Linked DNA regions of Rattus norvegicus. The protein of the gene in region 1 interacts with the protein of each later gene in a pairwise test. Links are inferred from orthologs where the notes say so. Each region holds a gene or a part of one and is shown in the gene's direction. Other genes may lie near its edges. The genes, in order: Ercc6l2 and Cyren.

What was found.
Region 2: the proteins of Ercc6l2 (region 1) and Cyren interact in binary tests that used the Homo sapiens proteins (3 or more experiments, as listed by UniProt). The two-hybrid records come from large-scale screens. The link is inferred for Rattus norvegicus from reciprocal best matches to the Homo sapiens genes ERCC6L2 and CYREN.

The regions. Positions count from the first base shown.
Region 1 is NC_086035.1:1,220,410-1,235,738, reverse strand, and holds the end of Ercc6l2 (DNA excision repair protein ERCC-6-like 2), read left to right. Parts: intron 1-7,952; coding exon 7,953-8,134; intron 8,135-11,800; coding exon 11,801-12,770; 3' UTR 12,771-13,600; downstream 13,601-15,329. UniProt on the Homo sapiens protein: Promotes double-strand break (DSB) end-joining and facilitates programmed recombination by controlling how DNA ends are joined in a spatially oriented manner during repair.
Region 2 is NC_086022.1:64,508,638-64,524,760, reverse strand, and holds Cyren (cell cycle regulator of non-homologous end joining), read left to right. Parts: upstream 1-6,018; 5' UTR 6,019-6,284; coding exon of another isoform or gene 6,285-6,325; intron 6,326-7,245; 5' UTR 7,246-7,353; coding exon 7,354-7,493; intron 7,494-8,350; coding exon 8,351-8,426; intron 8,427-9,298; coding exon 9,299-9,565; 3' UTR 9,566-10,284; downstream 10,285-16,123. Other genes in the region: Wdr91 (WD repeat-containing protein 91), read left to right, coding at 2,770-2,934; Tmem140 (transmembrane protein 140), read right to left, coding at 10,902-11,456. UniProt on the Homo sapiens protein: Cell-cycle-specific regulator of classical non-homologous end joining (NHEJ) of DNA double-strand break (DSB) repair, which can act both as an activator or inhibitor of NHEJ, depending on the cell cycle phase.

The DNA.
Region 1 (15,329 bases):
GATGAACTCTCAATCCTAAATATCTGTGCTCCAAATACAAGGGCACCTACATCCATAAAAGAAACCTTACTAAAGCTCAAAGCACACGTTACACCTCACACAATAATATTAGGAGATTTCAACACCCCACTCTCATCAATGGACAGATCATGGAAACAGAAATTAAACAGAGATGTAGACAGACTAAGAGAAGTCATGAAGCAAATGGACTTAACAGATATTTATAGACCATTCTCTCCTAAAACAAAAGGATATACCTTCTTCTCACCACCTCATGGTACTTTCTCTAAAATTGACCATATAATTGGGCAAAAAACAGGCCTCAACAGATACAGATATATAGAAATAATCCCATGCGTCCTATCAGACCACCACGGGCTAAAGCAGGTCTTCAATAACAATAAGGAAAGAACACCCACATATACATGGAAGTTGAACAGTGCTCTGCTCAATGATAACCCGGTCAAGGAAGAAATAAAGAAATTAAAGAATTTAATGAAAATGAAGGTTCAACATACCCAAACTTATGGGACACAATGAAAGCTGTGCTAAGAGGAAAACTCATAGCTCTGAGTGCCTGCAGAAAGAAAAAGGAGAGAGCATATATCAGCAGCTTGACAACACACCTAAAAGCTCTAGAACAAAAAGAAGCAAATACACCCAGGAGGAGTAGAAGGCAGGAAATAATCAAACTCAGAGCTGAAATCAACCAAGTAGAAACAAAAAGGACTATACAAAGAATCAATAGAACCAAAAGCTGGTTCTTTGAGAAAATCAACAAGATAGATAAACCCTTAGCCAGACTAACCAGAGAACACAGAGAGTGCGTCCAAATTAGCAAAATCAGAAATGAAAAGGGAGACATAACTACAGAATCAGAGGAAATTCAAAAAATCATCAGATCCTACTACAAAAGCCTATATTCAACAAAACTTGAAAATCTGCAGGAAATGGAAAATTTCCTAGACAGATACCAGGTACCGAAGTTAAATCAGGAACAGATAAACCAGTTAAACAACCCCATAACTCCTAAAGAAATAGAAGCAGTCATTAAAAGTCTCCCAACTAAAAAGATCCCAGGTCCAGATGGGTTCAATGCAGAATTCTATCAGACCTTCATAGAAGACCTCATACCAATACTGTCCAAACTATTCCACAAAACTGAAACAGACAGAGCGCTACCGAATTCCTTCTATGAAGCCTCAATTACTCTTATACCTAAACCACACAAAGACCCAACAAAGAAAATTTCAGACCAATTTTCCTTACGAATATTGACGCAAAAATACTCAATAAAATTCTTGCAAACCAAATCCAAGAACACATCAAAACAATTATCCATCATGATCAAGTAGGCTTCATCCCAGGTATGCAGGGATAGTTTAATATACGGAAAACCATCAACATAATTCACTATATAAACAAACTGAAAGATAAAAACCACATGATTATTTCATTAGATGCTGAGAAAGCATTTGACAAAATTCAACACCCCTTCATGATAAAAGTCCTAGAAAGAACAGGAATTCAAAGCCCATACCTAAACATAGTAAAAGCCATATACAGCAAACCAGTAGCTAACATTAAACTAAATGGAGAGAAACTTGAAGCAATCCCACTAAAATCAGGGACTAGACAAGGCTGCCCACTCTCTCCCTACTTATTCAATATAGTTCTCGAAGTCCTAGCCAGAGCAATCAGACAACAAAAGGAAATCAAAGGGATACAGATTGGAAAGGAAGAAATCAAAATATCACTATTTGCAGATGATATGATAGTATATTTAAGTCATCCCAAAAGTTCCACCAGAGAACTACTAAACGTAATAAACACCTTCAGCAAAGTGGCTGGGTATAAAATTGATTCAACTAAATCAGTAGCCTTCCTCTACTCAAAAGAGAAACAAGCTGAGAAAGAAATTAAGGAAACAACACCCTTCATAATAGTCCCAAATAATATAAAATACCTTGGTGTGACTTTAACCAAGCAAGTGAAAGATATGTATGATAAGAACTTCAAGCCTCTGAAGAAAGAAATTGAAGATCTCAGAAGATGGAAAGATCTCCCATGCTCATGGTTCGGCAGGACTAATGTAGTAAAAATGGCCATTTTACCAAAAGAGATCTACAGATATATGCAATCCCCATCAAAATTCCAATCCAGTTCTTCATAGAGTTAGATAGAACAATTTGCAAATTCATCTGGAAAAACAAAAAACCCATGATAGCTAAAACTATCCTCAACAATAAAAGGACTTCCAGAGGAATCCTCCATCATCATCATCATCAATTCATGTGTGTAAGTGTTTTGCTTGCATGTCTGGTGCACACAGACACAGAGGTCAGAAGATGGTATTAAATCTCCTAGAACTAGAGTTATGGATGGTTATGAGCCACCTTGTGGGTACTGGGAATCAGACACAAGTCCTCTTCAAGGCAGCAAGTACTCTTAACTACTGAGCCATCTCCCCTACGCTTGATATCTTTTAAGCAGCTGCATTAGTTACTTTTATTGTCACTGTGACAAAATATATGCAGAAGCAACTTAAGAGAAGACAGGTTTGGTTGGGGATTTAGCTCAGTGGTAGAGCGCTTGCTAGCGCAAGGCCCTGGGTTCAGTCCCCAGCTCCGAAAAAAAGAAAAAAAAAAGAGAGAGAGAGAAGACAGGTTTGGCTCAGAGCCTCAGTTGTTATGGTGGGAAGGCATGTCAAGAGTTCCTGGCAGCAGAAGTGTGTGGCAAGTCAGGAAGGCAGGGATCAAAAGCAGGGCCAGGCTGTAACCCTTAAGGCAAACCCTAATAGCCTATGTCATTCAGCAAAGCCTACATTCCAAAGGTTCCACAGCTTCCTTAGACAGTGTTACCAGCTGGGGACCAAATGTTTAAACACATGCCTGTAGGAGTGTTTCACATATAAACTGTAAAAAAAAAGTGGAGAAAATATTAGAGATGCCAGGTTCATGTCTGTAATTCTAGCACACAGGAGACAGGCAAGAAAATGTGAACTTAAGACCAGTATGGGACTTATATAGTGAGTTCAAGGCCAGCCTGGGCTACATACTGAAACAATGTCTCAACTAATTCACTAATCAATAGAAAGGGGGATAATTATGACTGTGCAGAAACAGGTTTTTGCTTTCTTCCTTCACCTTTTAATTGCAACATTTTCCATCCAGTTTTAACACGGTGATCTAGTTGTTTGCTTGCCCTGCTCTCCCAGAGGAAGAAAGGTGCTTTTAGCTTGCTTCCCTCTCTGTTCTAATGTTAAAGGAGACAGTATTACTCTTTAAATTCCTAGTCTGCTTTGTTCTAGGGGCTTAGTGTTATCTCATTGTAAAGACTCCATACTTTGCTCAAATGATCTCGATTTGTTCTGTCCTAGTCAAACATTGTCAGTGCAGCTAAAGCTTCACGGGCATTAATTGCCCATCTCAGCTGTGGTGAAGAGTTTGCTATACTACTTTGAAGCCATCTCTAAAACAAGAGCACCAAGATGTTTATAAATTAATACACTTTTTTTCCAAAAGAAATATGGATTTTTAAAACTATATAAATGGAACTGTGTAAACCAGCAGTTCATAATTCTTTCTGTTTACATATACGTTAAGACAATGATAAAATGTCCTAGGCTCTTCTGTCGGAGAGATGTATAGATGCTCACATACGCACCTTGCAAATGGATCTTCAAAAGGCTCAAGAGTACCTTTCTCTGCAGTCCCAGAACCTTCATAGTATCAGTGGACACGGCAAAGGACTCTTAGTAAGAAAAAGTCCCCTGATCCCTAAGATTCCTGCCATGGCCAGACTCTGAAGCTCGTTAATGTTACCTTACCTGACAAAGGAGAATTAAGGTTGTAGATACAATTCAGGATGAATCAAGCTGACCTTGTTGAATTAACAAGATGGATACCATTAAGGACACTAGCTAACTGACCAGAATTCTTTGCTGAGAGTATCTTGCTGGACTTAGTATATTCACATTCATTCTCACAAGAAGAATCTTCCCTGGCTGTACTCATAGCGTGGTGTAACCCTGAAATAAGTGTTAGAGGAAAACAAGGACTGTGGTCTGCATCTGAGAGTTAGGGAAGTTTGGAAATGAATTGTCCCATAGAGCCTCAGAGAAGGAACATAACTCTGCCAGCACTTTGATTTTAGCCCAGTGAGATCCGTGTCAGACACACCTATAGTAATGTAAGGTCAGAAGTTTATGTTGTTTCAAGCCAGTAATACCATGGTAACTTGTTAAATAGCAATCAGAATATAACTCACCACCTCCATTCTATACTTACAATTCAGTATAACAGTGACAGCACATATATTCCTGAAATCTTAATACAGTTGGACTAAGTACAAATTTATGTTCTACAACTTAATTTCAATAAAATGGTAAATTTATCTACTAAGTAGCAATCTACAATTATATCTTTTTAAAAATAATAAAAGATAGGATAAAGAATTCATGTGGGCGGGGGTTGGGGATTTAGCTCAGTGGTAGAGCGCTTGCCTAGCCAGCGCAAGGCCCTGGGTTCCGTCCCCAGCTCCGAAAAAAAAAAAAGAAAGAAAAAAAAAAATAATTCATGTGGGGGAAAATGATTTTTCTCCTTTTAAGAATCTTGTTTTAAATTGTGAAATATGTCACAAAAATCTAATGATCCATATGTCCAGCATCTGTGTTTGCAAAGGCTGAATTCCTGAAGGATTTATAAAACTGGTTCTTTAGATGTGTATAAAATGTGAGCTTTGTAATGTCAGAAAGAGCAATTGCATAAACAATTGACAAGAGCCATTGCAGGTGCCATCTCTCCATGGCTTCAGAAATCACAGCGTAAGAGGAAGGAGGTTCTTGGTTGGCTCAATTGCGCTTTCTGCTTATTTTCTTTATATTCATGTTAACATTCTCATCTCTTAAAATAATGAATACCCATTTCTAGGGATCAGAAGCTGTCATAACTTGTAGCCTTCATCCTGTTTCTGATGGAAATAAATACATAACATCTCTTTCGGATTTATCCTAAAGATCAGTATTTTCCTCTTTATTGATAATGTTTTCAGACAGTTATGATGTTAAAAGCCTGATGACCTTAGCAAAGCAGCTTTCTGTATTCCTGGCTGTTATCAGCTGTCTGCCTGTCACTGTTTGTCCAGGTAGAGCGCTGTTGCTTCTGAAGACATCCATTTATCTTCAGTAGAGCTGGTTTGTATACAGTTGTTAAGGTGTTGGGAAGGATTTGATTGTAAGTTAAGTTACATGTGTTATACAAGAAAAGGAAGGGGCTAAACGTACACAGTTTCTAAAAGGTCTTCTATCTCTGGGATACGGCTTCAATTATACCTTAGTGTGTTTGTATCTCAGATGCATATTGACCTTGAAATCACAATCCTGCCTCAGCTCCTCAAGTAGCTGGGAGTACAGTACAGGCATGCTCTATAGGGCCTGGCCTTAGCAGTCGTGAGGCCGCAGTTGTGATTGCAGGTTGTGCTGCCTGTGTGCATGCTGAAGACATTACCCTTTCTGTCTGGTAGTGCCAATTAGAAGTCTTACATTTGCTGATTCTTTTTTATTCTCTCTCCCTCCAGTAGGTTTTAGAATGTTTCCTTATCTGTAACCTAAAGGAGGACATTTATTTTCATTTTTCCTAGTAAAGATCCTTTCTTCTCTTTTTAATTAGAAGTTTTAATTTTTTGCCCTGTGGTTACATCATCTCCCATTTTCTCTATTCTTTCCTTGAATTTCAAAGCATGTTTTCTGTCTCTTCTCCCTTCAGTGCCAGTGCTACTCTAAGTCACTTTGTTCTCCTGGTTCATCAACTGTCATGGCAGGTCTGGTTATCTGCTGTCTAACCTGTACATTGTTCCTATTTTGTTTTAAATTTTTCTTAAAGTTTGTATTTGGTCTGTCTAAAGTGCCTTGCTGGGTTTTTTGTTTGTCTTTGTTTCATTGTTTAATCTTTCCAGATAAGTTCTTCAAAAGTGTCCCTCAGGTCATCTGATTCACTGTCAGACTGCAGTAGAGTTTTCTTATTGGCTGCACCTCTGCCTTAACAGGTGTGGGGTTTAGTGTTCTTTGTGAGTTTCTGAATTCTTTTCCCCACCAAGTCACAAGCCTTCCTTTAGTGTTCTTGTGTTTGCACCTCATTGGACTCTGGTTTTCAATGGTTCTTGGCCAGTTTTTATGTGATTTTCAGCATAGCTTTTCTTACCACCCAGGATATACAAAATCAGATTCTCCAGTTGCAACCTGCTGGCCATTCTGTTTTGTCTCTAGACATTCTTAATGTCTAGAGTAAGAAGGTAGCCCCTGCTTCTCTTCTGTGTACCTATTTAAGCTTGTCTGGCTTTAAAATTTTAAATTAGCAGTCCTTCTTGTAGGAAGGGGAGTGCTGGATATAGAACCTAAGGCCTCGCATGTTTTGGGCCAGCATTTTACTACTGTGCTACGTCTTCAGCAGTGCTGCTGCTGCTGCTGCTGCTGCTGCTGCTGCTGCTGCTGCTGCTGCTGCTGCTGCTGCTGCTGCTTCCTGTATATTTCTCCTATGGTATATGTGCACATAAGTATCTTGCCATCCTTGGGACAGTGAGGCCTAAGACCTTCCTGCTTCCTCCCCAGCATCAGGATTACAAGTATGTACCACAGGACTCAGCTTTGATGAGTTCAGATCACACTTAGATCTTTTATTAGTAGATATATTAATACCTTTAATTTAGTTAAGTTACATTTGTGTGTATGTGCTAGTGCCACAGTGGTCAGAGAGTAATTTTCAGAAATTGGTTCTCTCCATCCACAGTGTTTTCTGGGAATCAAAATTGGGTCATCAGACTTTGCAGCAAGTACCTCACCCCATCAAGCCATCTAGCCAGCCCAGTGCAGATCCCTGTACAGATCCCTACACCTGTGCAGTGAACATTTTGCCAGTGAAGCTGTCTTCCCAGCCTCTTTCTTTGGTTTTTTACTTCAGGACATTAAATCATGCTCATCCCCCAGCTCCTTTACAGGTCGTCAGGCTGTGTTCTAGAGTGCTAACCTGTGGTTGCTCTCTCATTTCTTTGCTTTTGGAACCTAGCAGGCTTGCTTTTTCTCACTTTTAAAGTTAAATATGTTTTTGTTGTTGTTGTAAATTTGTATCTATTATTTTTATTTTTGGAATGGAATAGAACTTCCTACCTGGTCACACTTGTCATTGAGATTAGAAGTAGATATAGCATTTGATTCCTTGCCTACTGTCAATTCACAAACAGCCATAAAATTATTGTAAAGTAAGTTTGGTTTTCTTTATAACTTACAAACTGTAGACAATATTTTAAAATACTGAATATTCTTTAGCCTAACAGAGGCTGAGAAGTAGGACTTTAAAAGCTGGTTTTCCTTTTGTTACCCAACAGTTTATTTTTCTAGTTTGTGTGCTTATGTAAAATTAAACAAAAATTGATTCATAATTTTTAGAAAAATACAAAATTTTAAAAATTAGGTGAACTTTTTTGGTTTATTTTTAAATATTATTAATGGACCATGCATGTGTGCTGTAACATACATATGTAGGTCAGGAGACAAGTCTGGTGTTGGTTCTCTCCTGCCCTGTGGGATCCACTCATAGGGCCTCATGCAAGAATCTCTGCCTACTGGGCCGTCTTTCTACTCCTGTCGCACTGGCTGAGTCTGCACAGCTGCACCTGGCCTAGACTCAGCCTCATTCATTTAATCATTGATTATTATCCTTAGGGTAATAGGGATCAGCCTGTGTGTTTGTCAACTGTAATCCTGACAGTAGGCAATACCACATTTTTCTGTATTCTTCCTTTGACTGGCCTACACTACCATCCTCCAAAAGTTGCTTTAGTTGGATAATGTGACCTGCTTCACTGTAAAGTATCTGGGAAGTAAGTGTGACATTCTTTGTCTTATCAATCCAAAACGGCTTTGTTCAGGCTTAGATTGTACTTCCTTTTTTTTTCAGACATACAAAAGTAAGGTGAATGCAAATGCAGTGATACCTACAAAGAAAGACCAGCCACCAAGTGATGGGCACATTTCCTCTCCTCTGTATATATCCCACCCTGTAAGCCAGAAAAAGAAAGATGTCTACCGTACTAACCACACTACCTTCATCATTGGAGAAACACCAAGAGGAATCCGCAGGTATGTTTGTCTGTGGCTAGACCTCAGGCTAATTCTCAGAAGAAATACAGTTTCATAATAAAATGTATATTGTATAATCATATCTCGCATCCAAACTTCAGAAAACACGAACTTTTATAATTAAAAAATAAAAGCAAATCCTTTTGAAGCAGGATCTCACTGAGTAGTTCAGACTGGCCTGGACTTTGCTGGTATTATGAATCTACTGCCTTCACTCCTAAATTGTGAGATCACAGAGATGTAGGAATATGGGACAAGCATGGGATTGAAGCAGTCCCCAGGGGTCAGGTGAAGAAATGAGTGAGTCAGTGGGGTCTCCATACACAGCTATTAATGTTACCAAGAATGGTGTCAAGAGATGAACCAGGCACAGCCAGCCCGGTTCTCATGACCTCTGTGGACAGTGGAAACTACTTGCTCTTGCTCACAGTTGGTTCCTGAGCTGCCTGGAAAAGGAGTAACCCAAAGAGCTGGCATGAGGCAGCCCCTTATTCTGCCTGGCAGGCTTGCCTGGCAACAGCGGTTTCTGCAGGGAATGCTTTTTTATTGTTGTCAGTGATTCTTCTAGAAGACTAACTACATTTCCCCAGTCTTTAAAGAAACATGGGTCTGGTCCCTATAATGGTGTCTGTTCAAAAGGAAGCAGGTATAGCAGGGATTTCTTCTTGCTTCCTTCCATTGTTTTCTTACCCAACCCAGAGAGGAAATTTTTCATGCTAGAGAAAGATAAAGAGTAATATTAGAATTCCAGGACACTAATTAGAGTGCCTGGACACTCCACCCCTTCCTGCTGCCATCACAGTCAGTCAGTTGTGGCTGTTCCTTGTAGTAGTTGAGTGATAAACTTCTAGGGCTGTCAGCACATCTAGCCTCAGAAAGCAAGGCAGTGACATGGGGGTGTCAGGTACAGTTCAGATCCTTCCCATGCAGAAAAGCCTTTGAAATATTAGCCATCGTGACTTCTGATAGACATGCTATAGATTCCTAACTTGGTTTTTATTTTCCCTTGTCTTAAAGCTACTCTGATAAAAGTGGTTAGCTTATGTTTCTATTATTCATTGCATTTTCTTAAATTCTTAAAGAAAATCCTATTGAAGTTCCAGAATTAGGAAAATTAGTGGGAAGGCCAAAAATCATTCTGTAAGGGGCAACCATAGGCAATTCATTCAATGGCTCCTTGGGTTAAATAGCATGGCAGCATCACTCCTCCCAGGGGTGACCTGCCCCAGGGTCACAGGTGAGATGAGATTATGTGTTTTCTTAGCACAGCAGAGATAAAGTTACTTTGGCATCTGCTGAGAGATCACCAAGTCTTGGATAAATTAAATATATCACCTAATAGCCCACTGGTTACTAAATCTTTATAAATAAGTACAAATACTTACTGGGTCCTGGAAATGGATTTGGTGATGAGTAGTAGGCAGAACAGTAGCATCCTGTTGCTTTATTTGACATGAGAACAGAACCATTTAAGAACATGCTTGCATTCCAACAAGAACATTGGCAGTTTCCAGGATAGAAATTGAGGTGGGGGCGGGGGGTTATTCGTGGAATGAAATATATTGTTGTAGACTATTGATCAGCTGTAGAACATAGAACAAGACATGAGCTCCAGAAGCCATAGAACACCTCTCAGCCACAAAAGAATGTGGACACTCACCTTAGGCTGTCACTACAACCACAAGAGACTGTTACCTGACCTGGGAGGCAGAGCCAAATGAACAGGAAATCACAAAAGCTGTGGTTAGAATGCTCCTACATTTAAAAACCCTTGTTTTACCCTAAGAATGTTATATGAAGAGAAAATTCAGCCTTTAAAAAACTAACAATGCAGACCCATGATTGCTGGCCAGTTCTGCCTTTTCACCTGTTCTGGTGTGTTCTAGGTCCATGAGAACTAGTTCTTGAATGCTTCTTGCTCATCCTTACCTGACAGGTAGAGGTGACAACAGAGAACCTCTCCCTACCCTGCAAGTACTTAGGTATCCACTGTGAGTGCCAGGAGAGCTGAATTTACCCTTCATCATGAGATTCTACACTGACTGTATTGCTTTGACTCTCTTAGCCAGACGGAACTTCGTGAGGCCCGGGATCGGTCTGTCTTGCTATGGTGTAGTTTGTACAGTGGTGCTTGGACATAACAGGACTCTGAGGAAATTGGTAGACTGTGTAAAGGGAGTGGGGCCTTTAATACGTGCTGCAGTGCTGGTTTTGGTTTTATCTGAAGACAAATCTACAGATACTGAGCTCTTACGACTTAAAGCCCAAACACGGCATCAGCAAAAAATACACTCCCTCTTATTTATGGTGGGGTGGGGTAAGACAGGGTCTGATGGTGCCCAGACTGCCTCAATATACCATAGAGCTGAGGATGATTGAGAATCAATCCTTCTGCCTTCGCATTCAGAATGTTGGAATCATAAGCGTGTTGTTCTATCAAGCCTGGCTCAAAACTGAGACTGTAGAAGTAGCATCATGCTAGTTCTCTTTTCTCTCATCCTAGAGAGATGTGACTCTGGGGATCTCGTGCTCTTCCCATGACCGTACGTAGTCCTGTAGGTCCTTCTGCCAGTGCTCTCACACTGGACTTCAGTGTGTTTAGGGAATAGGTTCAATTCAGACTCCAAATCCTTCCCTGTGAAAAGCAGCAGTCTGTGGCTTAAGGAACGTAAATAATTTTCTACCTCCACTTTACCAAACCCACTTATGGGTGTGCATATTGAAGTGTCTGTTAGTGTCTTACTCAAGGATGCAATCCACTTCTTCAAATAACATCTTACTCTTTCTGCTTATTTGCTTCCTTTGGTTCTGAGACAGGGTCACCCTACATAACCCACCCTACCTCAACCTTTCCATCCTCTTGCCACTTGAGGACTAGGCTTGCTGTTGTGCACCACCATGCTTAGAAAGTAGTACCTGGCGTCCAGGATTAGCTGTCTGCACTAAAGGTGAACAGTGGGGAAAAAGAACCACACTTATAGAGGTTTTTTTTTTTGTTTGTTTTTGTTTTTGTTTTTTAAGCTCAACAAAACTTCATGAAATTCTATACTGTGAAAGGGAAGGGGAAATTTAATTTTTCTAGAATTTTCCATTTATCAAAGCCAATCTTTAACAATGTAATTCTATGGGACTTGAGTGCTATATAGATTCTCAAAAAAATAGATTGTATAAATGATGATTCTCACGTTAGCCATAAATTGGCTAACTAGAGGAGTAGCCTGCTGAGCTCTCATAATTCCCAGGAAATATATAATAGTATAAATCAGAGTTACCTAAAAAGCTGATGATTTAATGAGCTAAAAGATGGTTTCTGGTAGCATTGGGGAAGAGGCATGTTCTCCTAGTTAAGCTGATGTTCCAGAGGGATGAGGCGCATTGCTTTAACCTTTGTGTTTCCTGTCACTGCTAAGGAGCACATTATCATTCTTAACTCCATCACAGTGAGTGTGGGCACATGGACCACAAAGCCTGTGCCTGTGTAGACGCCAGAGGACAACTTTGTGGAGTTGACCGTCTTTCCACCATTACATAGGCTCCAGGGACTGAATGCAGCTTGTCACTTGTACCTTTTGAGCCATCTCAACAGCTTCCTGTTAAACTCTTTAAAAATAAAATGTAAATGTATTATTAAAAAATGACCACTGGCTTAATCTGACTTATCTTTAGAAAGCAGTTTGAAGAAATGGCCTCTTTCTACAAGCTCTCTGTAAAGGAGTTTGCTGAACAAGTTACTAGCGCCACATCTGAAGAGCAACAGAGAATGCTCAGGGACTTTTACAGTCTTCAGCACCCGGAGGTAAAGGAGTTCTTCATGGATTCTGCTTCAGAGTTGATGAAATCTGTCCATGAGAAAGAAGAGAGGGTGAGGAACAAATCTAAAGGAAAAGAATCTCTTTTAAAAGAAAGGCCCTCAAATGATAGTACTTTATCATGTAATGATTCCACCAACAAAATGTCTCAAGTTTACAACCAAAAAATATGTGAAGGAAAATCAGTCAGATTTCAGAATCATGGTTCCCATAAAGAAGACACATTTTCTAGTGGTGCAGAGATTAAGAAATCACCTGTCAACTTTACTCAGGAGATTTACAGTGAGAGAAACAACCACACACCCAAGGATAGCATGACACTCTTCTGTCCAGACAGCAAGTCTGAAGCCCTAGAGACAGAGCTAGAAGGTTCCTCAGGACATCAGTGGGACCTCACAGGAGCAGGCAGTTCAAGGAACAGACCATGTTTCAAGCTGAGAAACAAAAGAGTAGAAAACCCAGTGTCAGAAAGCACTCCTACAGAAGGCTTACTTGGTGACACCTCTATTCTTAACGACCTCTTTAAAAGCCATGGGGAAGGTCCCACACAGCTGCCAAAGAACGGTCCTTCAGGACCTGTGGCAAAAGCAAAGCAGAGACCAAAAGATTTCTGGGACATCTTGAATGAGCAGAATGATGACAGTCTCAGCAAACTCACTGACTTGGCAGTGATAGAAACACTGTGTACCAAAGCACCCCGCACCACAGCCTCCAAAAGGAAAGAGGAGCTGGAAGCTTCCCTTTGGAAAGCAAACGAGAAGTTTTTGTGGAAGACATTTAGCTCAGATGTTGATGATGAAAGCATAAGCAGTAGGGAGAGAGAGTAGGGCGTGGACGTGCCATTAGATTAGATACCAGTGAGCTGCTGGCCCTGGCTGTGTATGTTCGTGTGTGGGGCACGCAGAACAGTTGTCTGCAAACTTGTGTATTAACATTGCTTTAGCGTCATTTTATCAGCTTAGCATGTTATCATGGGTTGTCTTTTCCTAATATCTGTTTTAATCATCAGCACCCAGTTTATGCACTGCTGGGGGTCAAACCCAGGACTTCATGCATACCAGCAAGCACTCTGGACAACTGAGCTACATCTCCTGCCCCAGATTTGATCTTCCAAACAAATGCAATTGTATCATTATAACTTGTCATAATTTAACTATTATTAACTGGGAGTCTTCCGTCCTCTGTAAATCCAAGGCCTTACATGAGTAACTTGCTCTGTGCATGCCCATTCATTATGTGAAAGATAACAGAATTGAACCAGAGCAGCACACAGCCTTCCACTTTTAAACTCCAGAATGTCCCAAAGTCAAGTGGCAGCCACTGCACTCTCCTCATTGGCATTGAGAACTTACTGTTTTTCCTTCTTCCTTGGAATTATGTTCTATTGCTATAAAATTATTTTAGATAAAAGCTGTAATTAAGACTCAATAATTAGGACTCAATATATGGTATTTGTTAAAAATGCTGATTTTTATAACTACTCAGTGTTTGTGTGCTATGGTGTTAAAGAAATGGGATGATTTCTATCTTTGGCCAGGATAGCAATACCTGAACTTTTCACATTACTGTGATTTAGTAAATATAAATAAAGATATATAGCCTACCTTTGTATTTCTTAAGTAAATGTAAATGAATAAACATTTGATCTTAATTTAAACTTCTTTCATTGAATTTAATATATGTGGTTTACACACTCTGAAATGTGCTCAATTAGATTATTTAGTACCTTTTCTCAGCTTCTCTGGTCTGTGATAGGTACAGTGACAGGTATAGTCGTGTAGGTGACAGATATAGATAGGTAAAGGCAAGGAGGTCCTTCTGTAAAGTGTCTGAATAGCTCCTGGCATTGAGACTGACTGGCACTTGAAATGTCAGTCTGGTACCTGCCCACATTCAGCTGAGCTTGCAGGAAGGAACTGTCTACTCAGAAAACAGTAGGCTCTCCTGATCGAGCGCGCGCTCTCTCTCTCTCTCTCTCTCTCTCTCTCTCTCTGCCTCTCTCTCTCTCTCTCTCTCTCTCTGCCTCTCTCTCTCTCTCTGCCTCCCTCCCTCCCCCTCCCTTTCTCTCTTCTTCCTCCCTCTCATCATTCACTCCCTCCCCCACCTCCTCTCTCTCTCTCTCTCTCTCTCTCTCTCTCTCTCTCTCTCTCTCTCACATGTGTGCACACACACTGGAGTATTTTATTACTTCCTTTGTCCTGTTACTATAAGAACCTCTTGAGTCTGTGTTCCAGGGCCATGGTCACTCACACTTTGCTGCAGGAGCATATTGGAGAGGGGGAGCTGTGCTTGCACTGGCAGAAATCAGTGCCCCCTCCCCAACCCCTGTGAGGCACTGCCACTATGGAAACAAGAAGAAATGGGCTTCCAAGAGCTTTCCAGTCTTTGGAGGCCTCCAAGCCCACTCCACTCCCCAGGGAGCAGAGGGGCCTTATAGGAGGGGAGCAAGCTTAGTCAAACTAAGAACAGTTAACAGATTAACCTCTTGGGCATTTGGGGGTACACCCAGCTTGTGGGGTAAATCAAAACCAGCCCAGGGATAGGTTTGCCACTCAGTAGTCTGCTGACCTTCGAGGCTGGGCAAGGTGGAACTCCTGGGCTTTTCATTTTCCGCCTGCAACAAGATGGATCTCAGCCAACTGAGCTTGGCCGTACCCTGCAGACAAACTGCAGACACTGTGAGCCCCAAATGAGGATTTCTGTGTACTTCCGGTGGCTGGCAACGCCCGGAAAGGAACCACAAAGCCTGAGCTGGGGCCTAGTGCTCTCCCTGCCCCCCTGGCAGGACAGAGAATCTGCCCTAAAAGAGAAGAAAGGCTAATGGAATTATGCTCTGGCAGTAGCTACGGAAAACTCCTGAGCTCAAGCCAGTGGGGGGCGCGTTATCTGCCACCAGCCACAAGCCAGGCGGCTTCCCGCGTCCCTCACAGCGTGAAGCTGTGGGTGGTCCAGCTTTTGTTGTGCAGGAGCTCAAAGGGCCTAAGCCCTGAAGCAGGGATCCGGTGGAGTCCCTATAGCATCCTAACAGGAGGGTGGGGAGGGTCGCCTAGTGCCGGTGGTCGGTCGCCAAGCAGGTATATGGACAGTCAATAGGTCGGAGCAGGTGGGGACCCCCGCGGGGCACAGCTTGGCACAGTTGACTGGGCGAGTGGACCTCAGGCTTAGAATCCTGAATCCTGAATCCTGAATCCTGGAGGCGCGGGTTTCTGCTGTCTAAATCACTTTCAACTGATCCCCAACGCTCAGTCTTGGGAAGCTGCCAGGCGAAGGCGCCCCCCTTCCCGCAAGCACCTAGACAGAGATGCAGAGCAGAGCTAGGAAGGAAGTGGGAAACTGGCAGGGTGGAACTCCTGGCCGGTTCCAGGCGCAGTGTTAGCGAGGGCCCT
Region 2 (16,123 bases), on another chromosome or scaffold:
TAGCTGAGTGTGTCCTCTGTCCTGCATAGCTGAGTGTGGCCCTGTGTCCTCTGTCCTGCATAGCTGAGTGTGCCCTGTGTCCTCTGTCCTGCATAGCTGAGTGTGCTCTGTGTCCTCTGTCCTGCATAGCTGAGTGTGGCCCTGTGTCCTCTGTCCTGCATAGCTGAGTGTGCTCTGTGTCCTCTGTCCTGCATAGCTGAGTGTGCTCTGTGTCCTCTGTCCTGCATAGCTGAGTGTGGCCCTGTGTCCTCTGTCCTGCATAGCTGAGTGTGCCCTGTGTCCTCTGTCCTGCATAGCTGAGTGTGCTCTGTGTCCTCTGTCCTGCATAGCTGAGTGTGCTCTGTGTCCTCTGTCCTGCATAGCTGAGTGTGCCCTGTGTCCTCTGTCCTGCATAGCTGAGTGTGCCCTGTGCCCTGCATTTGATAAGATTCTGTCCTTTTCTTGTCTTATTCCTTGGAAATAATACATATTCTCCAAGATATCAGTAGAGCGAAGGGCTTGGGACTGTGGGCTTGTGGGTCTCATGGGTCCGGGCTAGGTAGATTGCTTTCATCACTGAGTCAGAATAGGTTTGCAGGAGGCCTATGGGTCAAGTACACCAAAGTCTACATGTGAGACAGAAACTCAAGGGTGTCCTTTGTCAAGCTAGGATACAAGTTTATTTTATTTGTGTTTGTGTGCTGTATGTATTTATGCACATGTGTGTGGCGGTACCAAGAAGAAAGTGTCAGATCCCATAGACTTAAGAGTTACAGGTGGTTGTGAACAGCCTGACAGGGATGCTAGGAGTCGGACTCAAATGGGTTGTATTTATCTGTTTACCTCTAATTATCTATCTGTCTCTCTATCTTTTATTTTTGTGTATAGGTACATGTTTGACAAGGGGAGGGGGCTCAGAGGTCACCCCGTAGAACTCAGTTCTTTCCTTCTACCATGTGATTTCTGGGGATTGAACTCAGATCTTTGGTCTTGGCAGCAAATGCCTTTACCTACTAAGCCTCCTTGTTGGCTTGTCTACATTTCTTTTTGTTCCTGTTTATAGATTGGAAAAACAAACGGGAACAAAGCAAGCAAACAAAACCTCTGTAACCAGCGCTGCTTGGTTTGCTTCAGGGCTCTGTACCCCTGAGAGACTGAATGCTGACCTTTTCACTCGGATCACCCAGGGATGAGTGCTGAGGACTGAGCCCAAGACCACGTGTCTGGTGCTGTGAATTCCTCTCCCCCTTCAGTGCTCCTCAGAGAATGTTTCCTGGCCAGTAGTGTTTAGTCTGTGAGACAGAGGGTCCTTCAGTGTCTGGTGCCACCGCTTGTCAGTCAGCAAACAGCTGGGGTTTGAACAGTAGTTCTGTGCTAGGCCCGGCACCACTGTCCTGCGGAGTGGACCAAGGAGCTAAAAAATGTTGTCTCTGCTTGCCTGGGGTTCAGACACAAGTTAGACAGCACTGAGAGTAGGTGACAGACAGCTAAGCCCTGAGCAGTTCCCAGAGAACCTGGGTGGGGACCAAGTTCTCAGGAAGACCTAGAGGGAGACTGCAGTCTGTGGACTGGAAAGAAAAGGGGTTGGGAACGTAGGAGTGGGGGGGACTCCTTGGGCCCCAAGCTGGGAAGTGGCTCTTGGGGGCTCTCTGGGCTGAGTGGGTGCTGAGGCGGGGAATGAGGAGCTTCACACAGACCTGAAGGCTGCTCAGTGAGACCGGGGTCAGTAGGGCTCCTCTTCCCACAGAGGACAGCATTACTTTGTTCTCGCCCTCCCTGCAGTGTTAACTGCATGATCTCGCGTGTGGGTCTCTCCTTCAAGATACCCTAAAACACCAGTTACAAGCTAGTTTTCCTCTTTAAGGCTTGTTTTAGTTGGCTTCCGGGAGAGCTGTTCTTTGTTGTCCATGTGGAGGAATGGTTGGATATGCATTTTGTTTTAAGTCACGCAGCCTTTTCCCCATCAGTTTATGTGATGCACAGAGTTGCTCTGTGATCAGGTGATGGGTTGACAGGTGTTCCTGGGTAAATTTTAAAGTGTCATGAATGGTTCCAGTTACTTAAGGAGTCTGCTAAACTTCAGATTGCATTTTCATGATCCATAAATAATTTAAATGATGGCTCTTTAATGATCTCTTCAAGAATGCAAATGCTTTCTGCTGCTCGCTCACAGGTTTCATAGAGTAGTGTTACTAGGAGTCATCTTGTTTCTGGTTCCCAGTGCAGTACCTGCTAGCATCCGGCCCTTCACACATGTGCACAGTTCTAGACCGTGTGCGTGTGTGTGCGCGTGTGTGTGTGTGCGTGCGCGTGTGCACTGAACAGCAGACTTGTTCACACATCCATCAAAGTCTTCCTGTGCCTGGCAATGTTTGGAGTGATACGACTGGTCATAGAGGTCCTGCCCTCCCAAAGTTTGCATGCCTACGGTAATAACTGCTTCAGATCAATGAGTTGTCCACAGTCTGGAATCAACCAGCAGCTGGCAGTTGCTTCTATAGCAGGTAGATGTGGGAACAGACAGGGTAGGTGCAGGAGCAGTTGCCCGCAGATAGATAGGTCAAGGCCACAGAGGAGATGCCACACAAGGTGGTCTGGCTACAGTCTGGAAAGCGAAGGTATAAACAGGGTTTCCAGAAAAGTGGGGGTGTGGCCAGGCCACATCCTCAGATTGGGGTGCCCACTCCCAGGCTCAAGGTAGTTTTAGGACACTGAAAGTTTTGGGTTGAAGTGTGTATGTTTGCGAGTGACATCTGCTAATGTTGCCTCTTCACTCCTGTCCTTCTGCAGCTGGGCAGTGAAGAGAAAGTTCTAGAAAACTGTCTGAGCCTGGGTGGCCACCGTGCCCCTGTGGTCACCGTGGACTGGAGCACTGCAATGGACTGTGGGACGTGCCTCACTGCCTCCATGGATGGCAAGATCAAGCTCACTACCCTCCTAGCACATAAGCTCTGATTTCCGGCCTGGAGTGACACACTGGAAACAGAATTGTCTCTGGCAGAAGAGAGATGAGACGGGGGACAAGACAGGGCTCTGGTTCAAGCCAGGGCTGCGGATCTTCAGGAAAGACCACCGAGGGGGCTCGGTCATCCAAACGCAGCTCCTGGAGCAGGAGTCTGTGCAGAGTGCGCTCCAGAGCACAGGACAGACGCTGAGGAAGGAGCCACACTGGTGCACCGTGCTCAGTCCAAGAGGCTTTGACTGTATTTTGTACATAATTGCTTACTTTTCTCTTTTTAAGGGAAGAAAATCGGAGCGTGATAATGCTCTTACTGTCACTTGGTGTTTCTTTCTGGAATGTGTGAGTCACCTGGGCCTAGTGATTGTCACAGATCCCTGCTTTGGTTGTTGTGCTTCAGCTAAGCTGCCCAGGTTCTGGCAGAACTCGGTTAGAGTTGAGGTGTAGACCACAGTGCCCTCTTCTGGCCCCACACCAAGATCTGATATCTTCTGCAGAACCTGAAAGCTGTTGGTTAAGAAGCTTCTCCAGACAACAGGCCTGAGATCTGGGCCTCCAGCTACCCTTTCCCCTTGGTCTTCTGGCCACAGAACTCTCATTGGTGGCTCCCTCAGTTTTCCAGCTTGAAGTGTCTGAGCTTGAGTAATACCAGCTGCCTGCACCTCTGCCGGGCGTAGCTGGATCAGCTACATCTGTACTCCTGTCACAACCTGTGCTCTGGTCTCTCACTTGGGAGGAGGGTTCTACATCCTACTGCTGAGACCAGCCTCATGAAAGAGCCCTTACAGGGTCAGTGGGTCTGGGCCCTGGCATGGGCCTCCCACGTTTGCCGTGGGTGACCTTGCTACCTGACTAGGGTATGCCACTTCCACGAACAGTGACTGCTTGGAATAGTCATTTGATAGCTTCTTTGGGCTCCAGGCTGGCTGTGGGCTGTTGGGCTGGTAACTCCCAGGTGCCTACATAGGGAAAAAGCAGGAGTGCTTAGGCCTGGGCTCCCTTCTGGGATGGAAGGAAAAGTAGAAAGCAATATATAGGAAAAAGCCTACGTGTCATAGTCACGTGTGTGTTGGGTGGGGGTGGGGTGCGGTGGGATATGCCACAGCAGAGGTCACAAGACAACTCAGTGTAGACTCAGTTCTCTCTGTTCACCTTTGTGAGTACTGGGGATCAAGCTCAGGTGGCCAGGCTGCGTGGGAAGTGGCTTTACCTGCTGCGTCACCTCATGCGTACCTGTTTTTACCCATGACCACACCGACATGAAGACTCAATCCATTCCCTGCCACTTCTCCACTCCGGCTGACATCTCCACAGCCTCATCATCTGTCTCACCCAGCTTTGTGGTCCAGGGTTTCGTCCGAGTCAAGAGCCATGGTTTAACCTTTCCTCTAGTTTTTCTGTCTTAAACGGTCTGTTCTCCCTTCCCAGTGCATTCCTTACAACTTGCTGAGTTAGTGGTTTTAAGGCTCAGAGACAGAAGGAACACTCCAGAGCCTCTTCCTTCCAACTCCTCCCAGGAAGAGTGCATCCTTCAAAGCGCCCGTTTGGAACCCTCAAGGGCCTTAGTAAGGCTCCCTCTTTTGCTGTCCTCAAGTGAAGGCAGGTCACATTGCAAACCTTAAGCCACTCTTCCAGGGGCTGAGAACCTGGTCTGGCAGGTGTGAATCTCCCCTTCCCTGCCTGTGCTCAGCCCCAAACCCAGGCCCCTTGTGGCATTCAAATGCCCAGGAGCTTGGCATGAGGTCTGGAAGCACAGTAGTGCTTACATTTCAGGCTGACTAAATGAAGCTGACTGACATTTGTTATTATTTCTAATACATTTACCTGCCAATTTAAAAATAATAAAACCCATGTGGACTCCAGCATAGGCGAGCCTCCCAGCTTGGTTCCTCACTCCTGCTGGGGTCTCTGCAGGCAACAGACTCTGTATGAAGTCACACAGGTTTCTCATCTTAAGCCATATTTGTTGGGTGACCATGGAGAAGTTTGAAGAAATGTGCAGGGTTGGGGGAGTTTTAAGAATCAAAGGAAATCAAAGGATGGAAGGCTGCCCTCTCATCCGGCGTTAGACTTGCTTGGCTCACATCAGGTGAGGTTGAGGACCCTACTTTCTTGAAAGCCAGGGCCTGCCCTCCCAGAAAAGTCTGGTCTGGTTCAAGAGCAGCTGAAATGACCCTAGGGGTCACTGGTGGAATTGGAAGCCATTGGTTTGTCCCATTGAAAGTTGGGAACTTAAATTTCCTGGTCCAGACTATCCGTTTAGGATTGAGGATTAGCGATCAAGTAGGGCCAGGGAAAGGCAGGGGAGAAAACCTGCTCGACGGGGAAGCCGCGGGTGCCCCAGTCCAGAGTGCAGTTGGAGATTACAGCTGACCTGCTGCTGTAAATCGAATATAGTCTTGATTTCTCTGTTTGGAGGCGGACAGAATCAGATCTGAGGTTCCCTTTGCTCCAGGGTGCCAGAGAACCTCCCCTGTGACGGCCCACTCCTGTGTTTTCAGTCGTCTCTTGTGGCTTCTTTCCCAACCACCCAGTCTGCATTAAATCATGAGTGATTTTAGCTAAAAGACCCCAGACAGCTGGGAGCTTGTTGGGGCCTCCTCCACTTCTGCAGAGGGGACCTTGGACCGCCAACCTGAATGTAAACAGTAAATGGGAGTTTGATTTCTCTCCCTGAACTGTCAGGCACCCCGTTAAGTTTGGTCTCCTGGGGATCCCCTAGCAGGACTATCAAAGCCAGAAGCCCTTTGCACCGCCCTAGTTACTGACTCTGGGTGCTTTCTAAGAGACAACAGCTGCTCCTCAGCCACAACAGCGGACAGAAACCAGGGCCTGCGGATGTGGCCGGTGGTCTGCAGGGGGCACCCGAGGCCCTCGGTGCCAGCCAGCGGCCGGGTCGGGGGCGCGCGCACCGCGAGCGCGCAGGAGCCGGAAGGGGCGGGCGGTGGGATGCGTGCGCGCTTCGCGGTTCTAAATCCCGGAACCCACCAAAAAGAGCGCAGAGCCGCTCTGCCCTCTTGCTCGCGGTCCCATCCAGTCCCCAGACCCGGGCTCCGCGCCCTGTGCGGTAGGGAGGGAGTGGCGCGGCCAGCACCGGGCTAGTGCAGCGACAGCCCGCGTGTGCCTTCTGAGTGAGATTTTCCTGGGATCCAACCGGCCTGACCCCATCAGCGCTGAGTTCCAGAAACCTTGCGGTGGGCAGGACCTGGCTCGATGGTTGATGTTCAGTTTGCTGCGACTCTGTGCCCGTTAACGCGTAACTGCGCCTGTTTCTTGTCTATAAAATGGACGTGATGGTACAAGTACTGCCCGGTCTGATTCATTTCTGAACACTGGCACTCACTGGATGGTGTTCATCTTACTGACTTCTGTTCTGTGGCTGAACAGGTTAGGATGATGCCCTGCTAGTTTTCCTGTGTGTTTTAAAATGAAGTTATAAACGGTCATTCTGAGCGAGCCAGAATGTTCTAGTGGTGTATGTTGGGGGTAGGGGAAGCTAATGAAATCTGTGAATTAGAAGGCCTGGGGGCTTTAGTAACTGATATGTTTTGTGAAATGCAGTATGGTGTGGCGGAAGAGGGTGCCTTAGCCGAGCCTTCCCCTTCCTCCAGGTATCAGCCATATGATGATGGGTCTAGTATAAAAGAAAGTTTATTTGGGGTCATGAGAAGCGTGGTTGGGAAGGGAATAGAGGTAGAGAAAGGGACAGAGAGAGAGGAGAAGGGAGAGAGAGAGAGAGAGAGAGAGAGAGAGAGAGAGAGAGAGAGAGAGAGAGACCTGGAGAAGGGGGAAAGGCGGAGTTGGGAGTGGGGGTGGGGGAGTCAGAAAGAGAGAAAGGGGTCAGAGAGAGTGAGAAGCCAAACAGCCCTTTTATAGCAAGCCAGCCTTATAGAACCTGAGTGTTGCTAGGTAGTTGGTGGAGCCTAGAAGGAACATTAACATGCTAACAGTGACCAAATCACTGTGCGAGTGAGAAGTTTGTGACAGAGATCATCATGGGATGCAGAGGAAAGGGAGACCAGAGTTCCCTTCCTTCTTTCCTCCTGGGATGCAGAAGTGACAGGAAAGCATTTCTTGTTGCTCCAACTACCTGTGGAGCACAGAGCAGTGGAGGGGTCACAGAACTTCATCCCCAGGCCCGATTGTCCTATCTGCTGCGAGTCCTCCATTTGATGCAGTACGTGGCCTTCTGGGCTCTGCTCACCTCTGGGTCACCTAGGCCTGCCCTACACTGACCAGTAATTATTGCTGGTAAATTGAAAGAGCGTTGGCTTACTAGAATCTACTGACTTGGTTCCTCCTTGTAGGCATTCAAGATCGGCTCCCACTGGGGTCAGATAAGCCCGGTGTGATGAGAGTGTGATTTTTGGTCCTGCTGTAGAGAAGCAAGTCCCTGAGTGTGGAAAACCATAGCAATGGAAACCCTAAAATCCGATAACAAAAAGAGGGTCCTCCCCTCGTGGATGACAGCCCCTGGGAATGAGAGAAAGGTTGTATCAGTGAAGACAGCCAAGAGGAAGCAGACAGCAGCCATTCGAGTTGGGGCAGCAACAAGGTGGGACAGCCTGAGGTCAAGAGGGCTTCTCCGTAGCTCTCCTGGCCTGTCAGAGTGGGCAGGGTAATGAGGTGGGTCCTTCCTGCAGTGCCTTGAGGTCTCAGCTTGCCCCTCACAGAGAAGCACCGCTTTGAGTGCTTTGTTGGTGAGCTCTGTGCTGGTGAGGTGCTGCCATCTAGCTGGCAGTGAGCTCTGTAAACAAGCCACGCCCCCAGAAGCCAGAAGCTCTCATTTGTGATAAAAGCGAGATCAATGAAGCACAGAGCTTTTCAGGCAGGCAATCAAATTTTCAGATGTGAGGTGAATGCTGGTAGTTTGGGGGGGGGGCGGTGTTTATCAAGTGGGAGGGAGAGCGCTGCCATCCTCAGTGCTATACTCGTTGGCTCTTTCCTGTCCACCTGTGCCCTCCACAGTTTTCACAGCCCTTGTCTAAACATATCCTCACATTCAGGTACGAATCAGGCTCTGGCCTGATGGCCTGTGTTTGCTGTATCCTCTGTTTGCTTTTGAGACAGGTCTCTCTCTGTAGCCTTGGCTGGCCTGGAACTTACAGAGCTCTGCCTGCCCCCACCTCCCCAGTGCTGGAATTACGGTGCACCACCACACCTGGCCGACCACTGTGTGTTTGAAAGAGCAATGGTGGGAAGCCAGCCACCATCCCCACTCCTCTTCTTTGTGAGGGAGATCATGGAGGGTGGAGGGCAGGTAGCCTTGTGCGTTGTCCCTGGGCCACTAGGATGAGGGGACTCTTCAGTTCAGAGAAGCAGTAACTCGCCCATGCCCTGGGGGCTACTTCCATTTCACCCTCCTTCTGAGTCCCTCCGCCCTCAGCTGTGGCTTTGCGTCTCTATTTTCAGAGCCCCGGCCAAGGAGACAGTGTACTGCATGAATGAAGCTGAAATGGTCGATGTGGCGCTGGGGATCCTGATTGAGGTAACGTCAGTCCTGTCTCTTCTGACTCCTAGGGCTCATAGGTAGGAACTAGCATAGGTCCCTTGCTCCTGGTAAGAGAAGTGCTCCCCCCAGGCTGCCTAGTGTCCCACATCTTCCTCCTGCTTCCTCATTTCAGCCAGCTTTCCCTCAGCCACTGTGTGTGCTGTTTATCACATGGGGTGAGCCTTTGAGACTAGCTGTGCAGGTGGGGCGCGGGTGTGAGGGAGAGCAGGCACCTGTGGGTAACTACACTGACATGTATGTGAAGGGCACAGTGTTCACTCGTGTACTTGGGAAGGTTCCCACTTGGGTAAGAGGACTCCTCCCCAGCGTGCCTCTCCTTAGCAAAGGCCTGTGGAAGAGTCCCGGGCTCCTGAGGGAGGAACAGCAGCCCTGCCGTGAAGTTGCAGAGTTCTCGTGTTTTCTGTGTGTTTTAAAGCAGTGTATCATCTTCCCAGTGCTCATGGCTACCTAGACTATGCTGATCTGGGATACTGCTATCCCCAGGAAATCAAGGCTCTGGGGCCAGCTAGGGGTGGAGCTCAGTTAGGCCCGCAGAGGATTCTGGGCCTGGGCTTCTGGTGGTCTTGCTCCTTGCCCTTCCAGCCATGTTTTTCAGTTGGATTCCTTCTCCTTCTACTCCAATATTCCTCATACATAGGCCCCTGCATCTGTCGCTAGTGGGTCCTGGTCCTGAGGTGTGGGGTGAATCAAGGGTGGCTGCCATGGCGTGGGAGCTTGGCCCGGCCTGGTCATGTGCCGCGCTGGCTTTTCTGTTGGCTCAGAGTACACCCATAGCACTGTCAATCTAGTGCGTCATTGTCGGGAAACAAGCTGCTTATTCTGAGACTGCCATTTCTTCTGTTCTGCAGGGCCGAAAACAGGAAAAGCCCTGGGAACAGCCGTCTCTGGTGGCCCCTGATAAGCTGCAGCTTTCCCCTCCCTGTTCCGAGTCCCCTCACACCAGCTCCCCAGGGAGCAGCAGTGAGGAAGAAGACAGCAGAACCGACTCTCCTGCACTAGGTCTCAGCCCTGCCCGGGGACCAGAAGCTTCTAACTCTCCCTGTAGCAGAAGCCCGGAGGAGGGAAAGGAGGAGGAAGACGAGTTAAAGTACGTCAGGGAGATATTTTTCAGTTAGTATGAACTGTTCGCTGCTTCTGCGGAGAGTCTTTAGGATGTGCGGAGAGCCGTGGGCACTTCCTGCCCCTGCCACCCATGAAAACCCAGACTTTGCTCCCAACTTCCAGTCCCAGGAGGCTGTCAGTTTGGGTGGGACTAATTCTGTAGCAGGATGCAGACATGCATCCTCTTATAGTCTTATCCTGCACCACCCTCTGGCTCTGAGGGTTTGCAATGCCAGCCCTATGTTTTAGTCACAGTAAAAAAAACAAAGTCTTGGGCTAGAAGCAAAGAAAACTAGAGCTGCAGAGAACGTGGGTATTGGAGATGGGCAGCCAGACTTAAAGAGACCTGTGAACAGTCTCCCTCATGATACAGTCCAGCAGCAAGCTTCCACCCTTCCAACCAAACACGCTGGCAGCTGCCCACAGTTCCCTGCCATATCCGAGAGCAGGAGGCTCTATCAGACTGCTGAGTCAAATAGGTCCTGTCTACCACCAGTCACCTCCCTTCTACCTGGGGCCTCCACCTTGGTCCCTGTAGAGCTGTAGGGGAGAGTAGGGAAGGGAAACAGAACAAAGGATCACACCAGAGTCCACGTTTCTTTGGGTTCACTTTGGCTTACTGATGAGCACAGAGTGAAGAACTCGTTACCACTTAGGGTTTTTTTTGGTACACACACTGAAAAGATACATACTGAAGCCCCAATGCATAATAAAGACCGTGCTTCTAAGCCTTTCCAGTCTGGGTAAGGTGAGGGGACGCGCTGTGTGTTTGTGGTGACTAGTCAGCCCTGTTTACCTTCCAGGATTTGGCACATTTTTCGTCTGCATCCCTGAGTCACAAGAATGGTGTAACAGCTGATTCCTGTTTGCTGTCAGGTCCAGGGACCCATTCAGGGGGGCCCTGAAAAGCCAGCGAGGCTTCGCTCAGTGCTGACAGGACTTGCTGTTGAAACAGTTTTTTTTTTTTTTTTTCTAACCGTCCCATTTGTTGCCATAACCACCACAGAGTTATAGTTTGACACTTTGCCAAGACAGCTTGGAAATTTGGCTTCTGACAGACTCCCATGTGCCCGGGGCTATTGAGGATTGGTTGATTAACGCAGGAATCCCGGTGCATGAGCTCCATGGTAACCTAAGGAACCGCAGGTACCCTGGCCCTCCAAGCAGCCTCTGGGTTCCTTGACACCACAGTCTTCTGCTCAGTGGGTTCTGTCTGCTGAGCTGGAGATCAACATTGGCTAGGACACAAGGTGGTTGAAAGGACCCACCCAGCCACGGGTTCCCTGGCACCTTCTTGGAGCACAGTTGGAACTGAACCCTTGCCATCCCATAAGCCTTTGTAAGACTGGACTAGCAGTTCTCCCAGTGGTTCTTGTCCTTCTTATCTCGTGGTGGGAACATAACCATAGCCATAAGCAAGATGATGAGTAAGGCCTGGGCCAGGCACAGAGATAGAAAGCCAGGCCCCAGGAAGGAGAGCCTGAGCCACTTCCACACCAAGAAGAGGAAGAGGCTTAGTCCGCCGGCCAACAGCACAGAGGATGCCCCCAGGAAGCCCACGGCTAGCCGCCATTCTCCCTCATCACTGTTGCACTGGGCAAGGAGGAGAGGCAGAGGGACGAAGACTGCGAGGACCAGGGCTCCATACACACCAAGCCTAGCCAGGGCAAGGCCAACTTGAGGTATCCCCAGCACCCCCAGCTCAGGAAAGTTGTAACACTCTAGAGAGCCAATGTCCTCCTTCCACAGACAGAAGTTGTAGAAGCCGATTCTCAGGTTAGGTACGTCAGTGAGGTTGCCAGCCTTCCAGAGGAGAGCGTAGGACATCAGGGACAGGACCATGGCCACGAGGATCATGATGGCCATGAAGGACAGGCGGTTCCGCCACACCCTGGAGATGGCCATTCCTTCTGCTGTCGCAGGGAGGCCTGGAAAAGGTGGCACCAGTGAGAATCCAGCCCTTTCCTTGTGTGTACAAGCTCCTATTCTCTCTGCCCTCGTGTAGACGGGAGGTCCCAAGTCACAGCCAGTTCCCACTCCCAGTGGCCCACTGGTCTGCGGTTGGAAGGAACTGGGCAGCTGTGGAAACTTGAAGTATCCTGAGCCACAGCCCTCAGGTGAAGGGGTTTACTGCAGCAGAGATCCCACAAACCGGTGGTGCTCTCTGAGAGGTGTGAGGGTGAAGGGAAAGCCTCACTGTTAGTTGGGGTTGCAGCTTGAGGTAGGTGATCCAGGCTTGACTGAACCTAAGCTCAGTTGCTTTAGACAACCACTTAGGGAACCGAAAAACTGCCCAGCGAGGCCACACGTCAGTCAGACCAGTGTCTGTGCTCTGCGCGTGCGTGGTCAGCAAAGCTCTATGTCTCGGTTGGTTGGGTGTAAGCCTGGGTGGAGGATCAGTGGCCTGTGTCTCCTGCCCTATTTGGGAACTGAACCTCTCTTGGGATGAAATCACACTATTGAATGATGTTGATTTCAAAACATGTCTGTCTGCCCCCACCCCCCACCCCATAACAACAATAATCTATTATTCTAGGAAATTTTTAAAAGAAAAAAATTAAAATAACCCTTTGTCTTAACCACCATAGTAACGCCACTGTTCATATTCCGCATTATTTTCCCTGTGATCGTTATTTCTTTAAAGCACAGTGTTAAACCCAGTGGTTTTCCTCTGACTGCTGTGGGCATTTTTCATAGCTGTTGAGATATTCTTCAAAACATGATTAATGGTTACATAATGTTTAATCCATGGGCCAGGTGTAGTGGTACCTGCCTTCAATCCCAGCGCTCAGAGGCAGAGGCTAGTGGATCTCAGAGTTTGAGGGCAGCCTGGTCTACAGAGTGAGATCCAGGGCAGCCAGGGCTATGTGGAGAGACCCTGTCTCACAAGAAAGGAAAAAAGAAAGAAAAGAAAAGAAAAGAAAAGAAAGAAAGATAGAAAGAAAGAGGGAGGGAGGGAAGGAAAGAAGGAAGGGGAAAAAAGACATACTCAACTTAGAGCTATTTGTCTCATCTTAGTGATCTTATTACGTACGTATTTCAGGATGGACCTACAGATGCCGTTGCCCTCTTTCTAAGTGTATATAAGAGCCTATTTTACTACACTATCATTAGAAAAACCTTTTCATTACATTTTTTTAAAGATTTATTTAATTTATATATATGAGTATACTGTAGCTGTCTTCAGACACACCAGAAGATCATATCTCATGACAGATGGTTGTGAGCCACCATGTGGTTGCTAGGATTTGAACTCAGGACCTCTGGAAGAGCAGTTGGTGCTCTTAACCACTGAGCCATCTCTCCAGCCCTTTTCATTTTTATTCAGAAGGGATTTTCCTAATTGCCTCAAAAATAGTCTGCACACTGCCTATTTCTGTGCGTTTCCCGCTAAGGAATAAAACAAACACCAGGAGTAACTCGGGAAGCAGAGCTCAGAACCTTGTGAGACACAAGCACCAGGGCCCACACACCAAGCCCATGGGCCTAATCCCCAGAGCTAGGTGCAGCCCAGCATTGTGGGCAAGGGCCCACAGACCCTATGGACCTCAATGAACTCCTGGAGAACAGCTCCTTTCTCAAGGTGCAGTGAGATTTCTGTGTATCCCATTTGTCTTACAGGAACCAGAAAGAATTAAGGGAGAAAGAATGTTTGCCTGCCTTAAAGGGGTGGGGTGGAGGGAGCAGGAGGGAGGGGCATCTTCTTCAGATATGACACAATAGGGGTTGGTTTTAGCAGCCACCGGGCAGTAGACAGGTCCGGTTAGAACATTTTGAGGTCTGAATGGACAGTGTCTCTACCCAGGGTTGAGCAGTTCCTGGCTGTCGCTGTGGCTTCCCTCCGGTCTCAGAAGTAGCTTTTGTCAGAGGCCTTGTTTGAATGTACTAGGGATTCTTGGAGCAGTGAGGCTTGCTCCAGAGACTGTTAGAGGCAGCCGTTGCTTTTCCTCACTAGGTCCGAAGGACGAAATACTTAATTCATGCAGCCACGGTATGAAAAAATTCCCAACATATTTTAAACCGTTTTGGTCATTCAGAACCTTTTTTTTTTTTTTTTTTTTTTACAAAGCCTATAGGTATGTTTTTAGAGGGATTAGGTATTCAGGATGTAGGGTGGGTTTCTGGGTGTGGGACCCCTGTTTATCCAGTGGTGCTGTAGGAAATAACCCGTGCGCAGCCTGCACTGCTTGGGAAACGCCAGGGTGCCACCTGGGAGACTCCGGTCTGGATCCTGTGGGTTAGGTTAGACAGTTACGCCTGAGGCAAGGTTGGACAGTGAACTTGGCTTATTAGAGGAGGCCGTGGCCACCTCGGCACAGCTCCTGCCGGACCCCTTGTTTGTGGCTTCGTTTACTCTCAACTGATCTTTTGGAGGTGTGGGTGGGTTACTGTTTTGTTTTGCCCTGTTCTGAAATAAGAACCTCTCTGTGTAGCCCCAGTTGGCCTCAGACCCTAAGATCCTCTTGCCCCATCTTCTGCAACGCTGGTAATGGGCATGTGCCACCACGCCTGACTTCCCATGAGTTTGCAATGGAGAACGGAGCAATCGAAAACGGGAGTGGAAGGAACACAGGGCCGGGCATGTGGAGAAAGCCAGCCCTGAGCTTTCCTCTGCTCTGCCTTGAAACAGAGTTCAGCCCTTGCTCCTGTGCCTGTAGCATCTGGTCTGTCTTAGAACTTGAATTTTACTGGGGGCTCAGGTCTCTTTGTCTTCTGCACTTGGCTTTCTTGTGGTCAAGCTCTTCTGTTCAGACTGTGCCCACACTCAGCCTCTCTCCAGCTCCCTCAGAGTGGAGAACAAGAAAGCGGAAGCTGGAGTGGATACAAGAACGAAGTGTTCCCGAGGGACAGTCTACGTCTGTTTCATCCCGAGAAGGGTGAAAATTTTTGAAATTTTTTGGAATGTATTAATGAGGATGCCCTCTGGTATACTTAGGTATACATCGCGAGTGGCAGGGCATCCTGCGGGGCCCTGACTACGACGTGCATTTTACCAGCAGTACTGGCCCTCCATTCAACTTCATATGGGAATGCAGAGTTGGGAGGCTGGTGACTAGCCCTCCTCTTCTACTCCCTTGCCGCAGTGTCTGTATACTTGGTTGAAAGCCCAACGACATTCTTCTAGCTGTCCTGGCAGCCTCCTGGAGGCATCCTGTTTTCTCTAACCGCCCTGGCACTCACATCGCCAGCACGAAGGACCTAAATTTCCTATAATGATAAGCCCACACTTCCTTCGAAGAGCAAGAGGCTCTAGTGACTGCTGAATCACGGTGGCCACTGTAGATGAACTTCCTGTTTGTAATAAAGCAATGCATGCTGGTTTCTGAAAGCTGTCAAACCATGCCAAAGTGTGGAGAAAGGCTAAAAATCCTCTGCAACTTCCGGCTAGAGTACAGCGGCACTCCCCGCCTGCAGTGAGGGTCTCGTCCACGCACGAGTGCGTTTCCCATGTGTCATTCTAGCATGCATGTTTATGTCCTGGGAACTGTTTCCTGCTGTCTTTAAGGGCTTCCCGGAGCTGTAAAAGCTAATGGTTATTTTTTTTTTACTCCTTTTTTTTTCTTTTCTTTTTTTTTTTTTTTTTCAGAGCTGGGGACCGAACCCAGGGCCTTGCGCTTGCTAGGCAAGCGCTTTACCACTGAGCTAAATCCCCAACCCGGTTTTTTTTTTTTTTTTTTTTTTTTTTTTTTTTTATAAATTGTTCTTTATGTGTCATAATCTTATGACTAATGCTATGTGAGATATTTGTGAAGACATTTATCCTTCCAACGGTAAATTACGTTTTTAATGTTTTATCTGCGTGTGGGCCAGAGCACAAGTGTGGAAGTCAGAGGACCGAGTGCAGGAGTCAGTTCTCCGAAGTGTGGGTTCAGAGAGTGGGACTCAGGTTTCCAACCTGGCAATTATCTCATTACTCATGGAGCTGTCTGCAGGCGTCAGCTTAACTTGTAAACTCCACTTTAGCAATGAGGTCACTGCACTGCCCAGGCTGGTCTTGAGCTCCAGTAAGCAAGCCTCCTGAATAACTGGGGTGCGGGCATGTGCTGCTTGCTGGCAGATGCCTGTCTGACCTCATCCTCTCAAGTGTCCTGTATTCTTGAATCACCTAATCTCGGACCTCCATGAGCTGCTGCTACCTACCCAATGCTCCCTTCAGAGACAGTAAGATTCGGTCTTCTCAGGTATTTACTGACCATCTGTAGCTCTACCGTGGAGTTCTTTTGCTTTTTAAAAACGTTTTGAACACATGCAAGGCCCTGGGTTTGAGTCCAACATTGCTGAAAAGGAACCATCCTGAGTTTTAGCTCTTCTGTCTTGTGAGTGCCCTGTGGGGCAGAGGCCCCCAGGCTTGTCACTGTGCCATAGTAAAGCAAAGTCTCCCTGCTGTACCAGTCCCTTGCCTGACCCCTGAGCTGAGCCTCCAGTATGTGGGTTTGAGGGCCACGGCATGGGTACAACCTAAGGAATCGGAGATTGAAACGTGCTTGATTTCCCAGCTGTGGAAATAGGAAGGCTACGAGGTTGGGGTTTGCTTGTTTGTTTAAGCATCTCTAAAATTATCCTAGAGGACA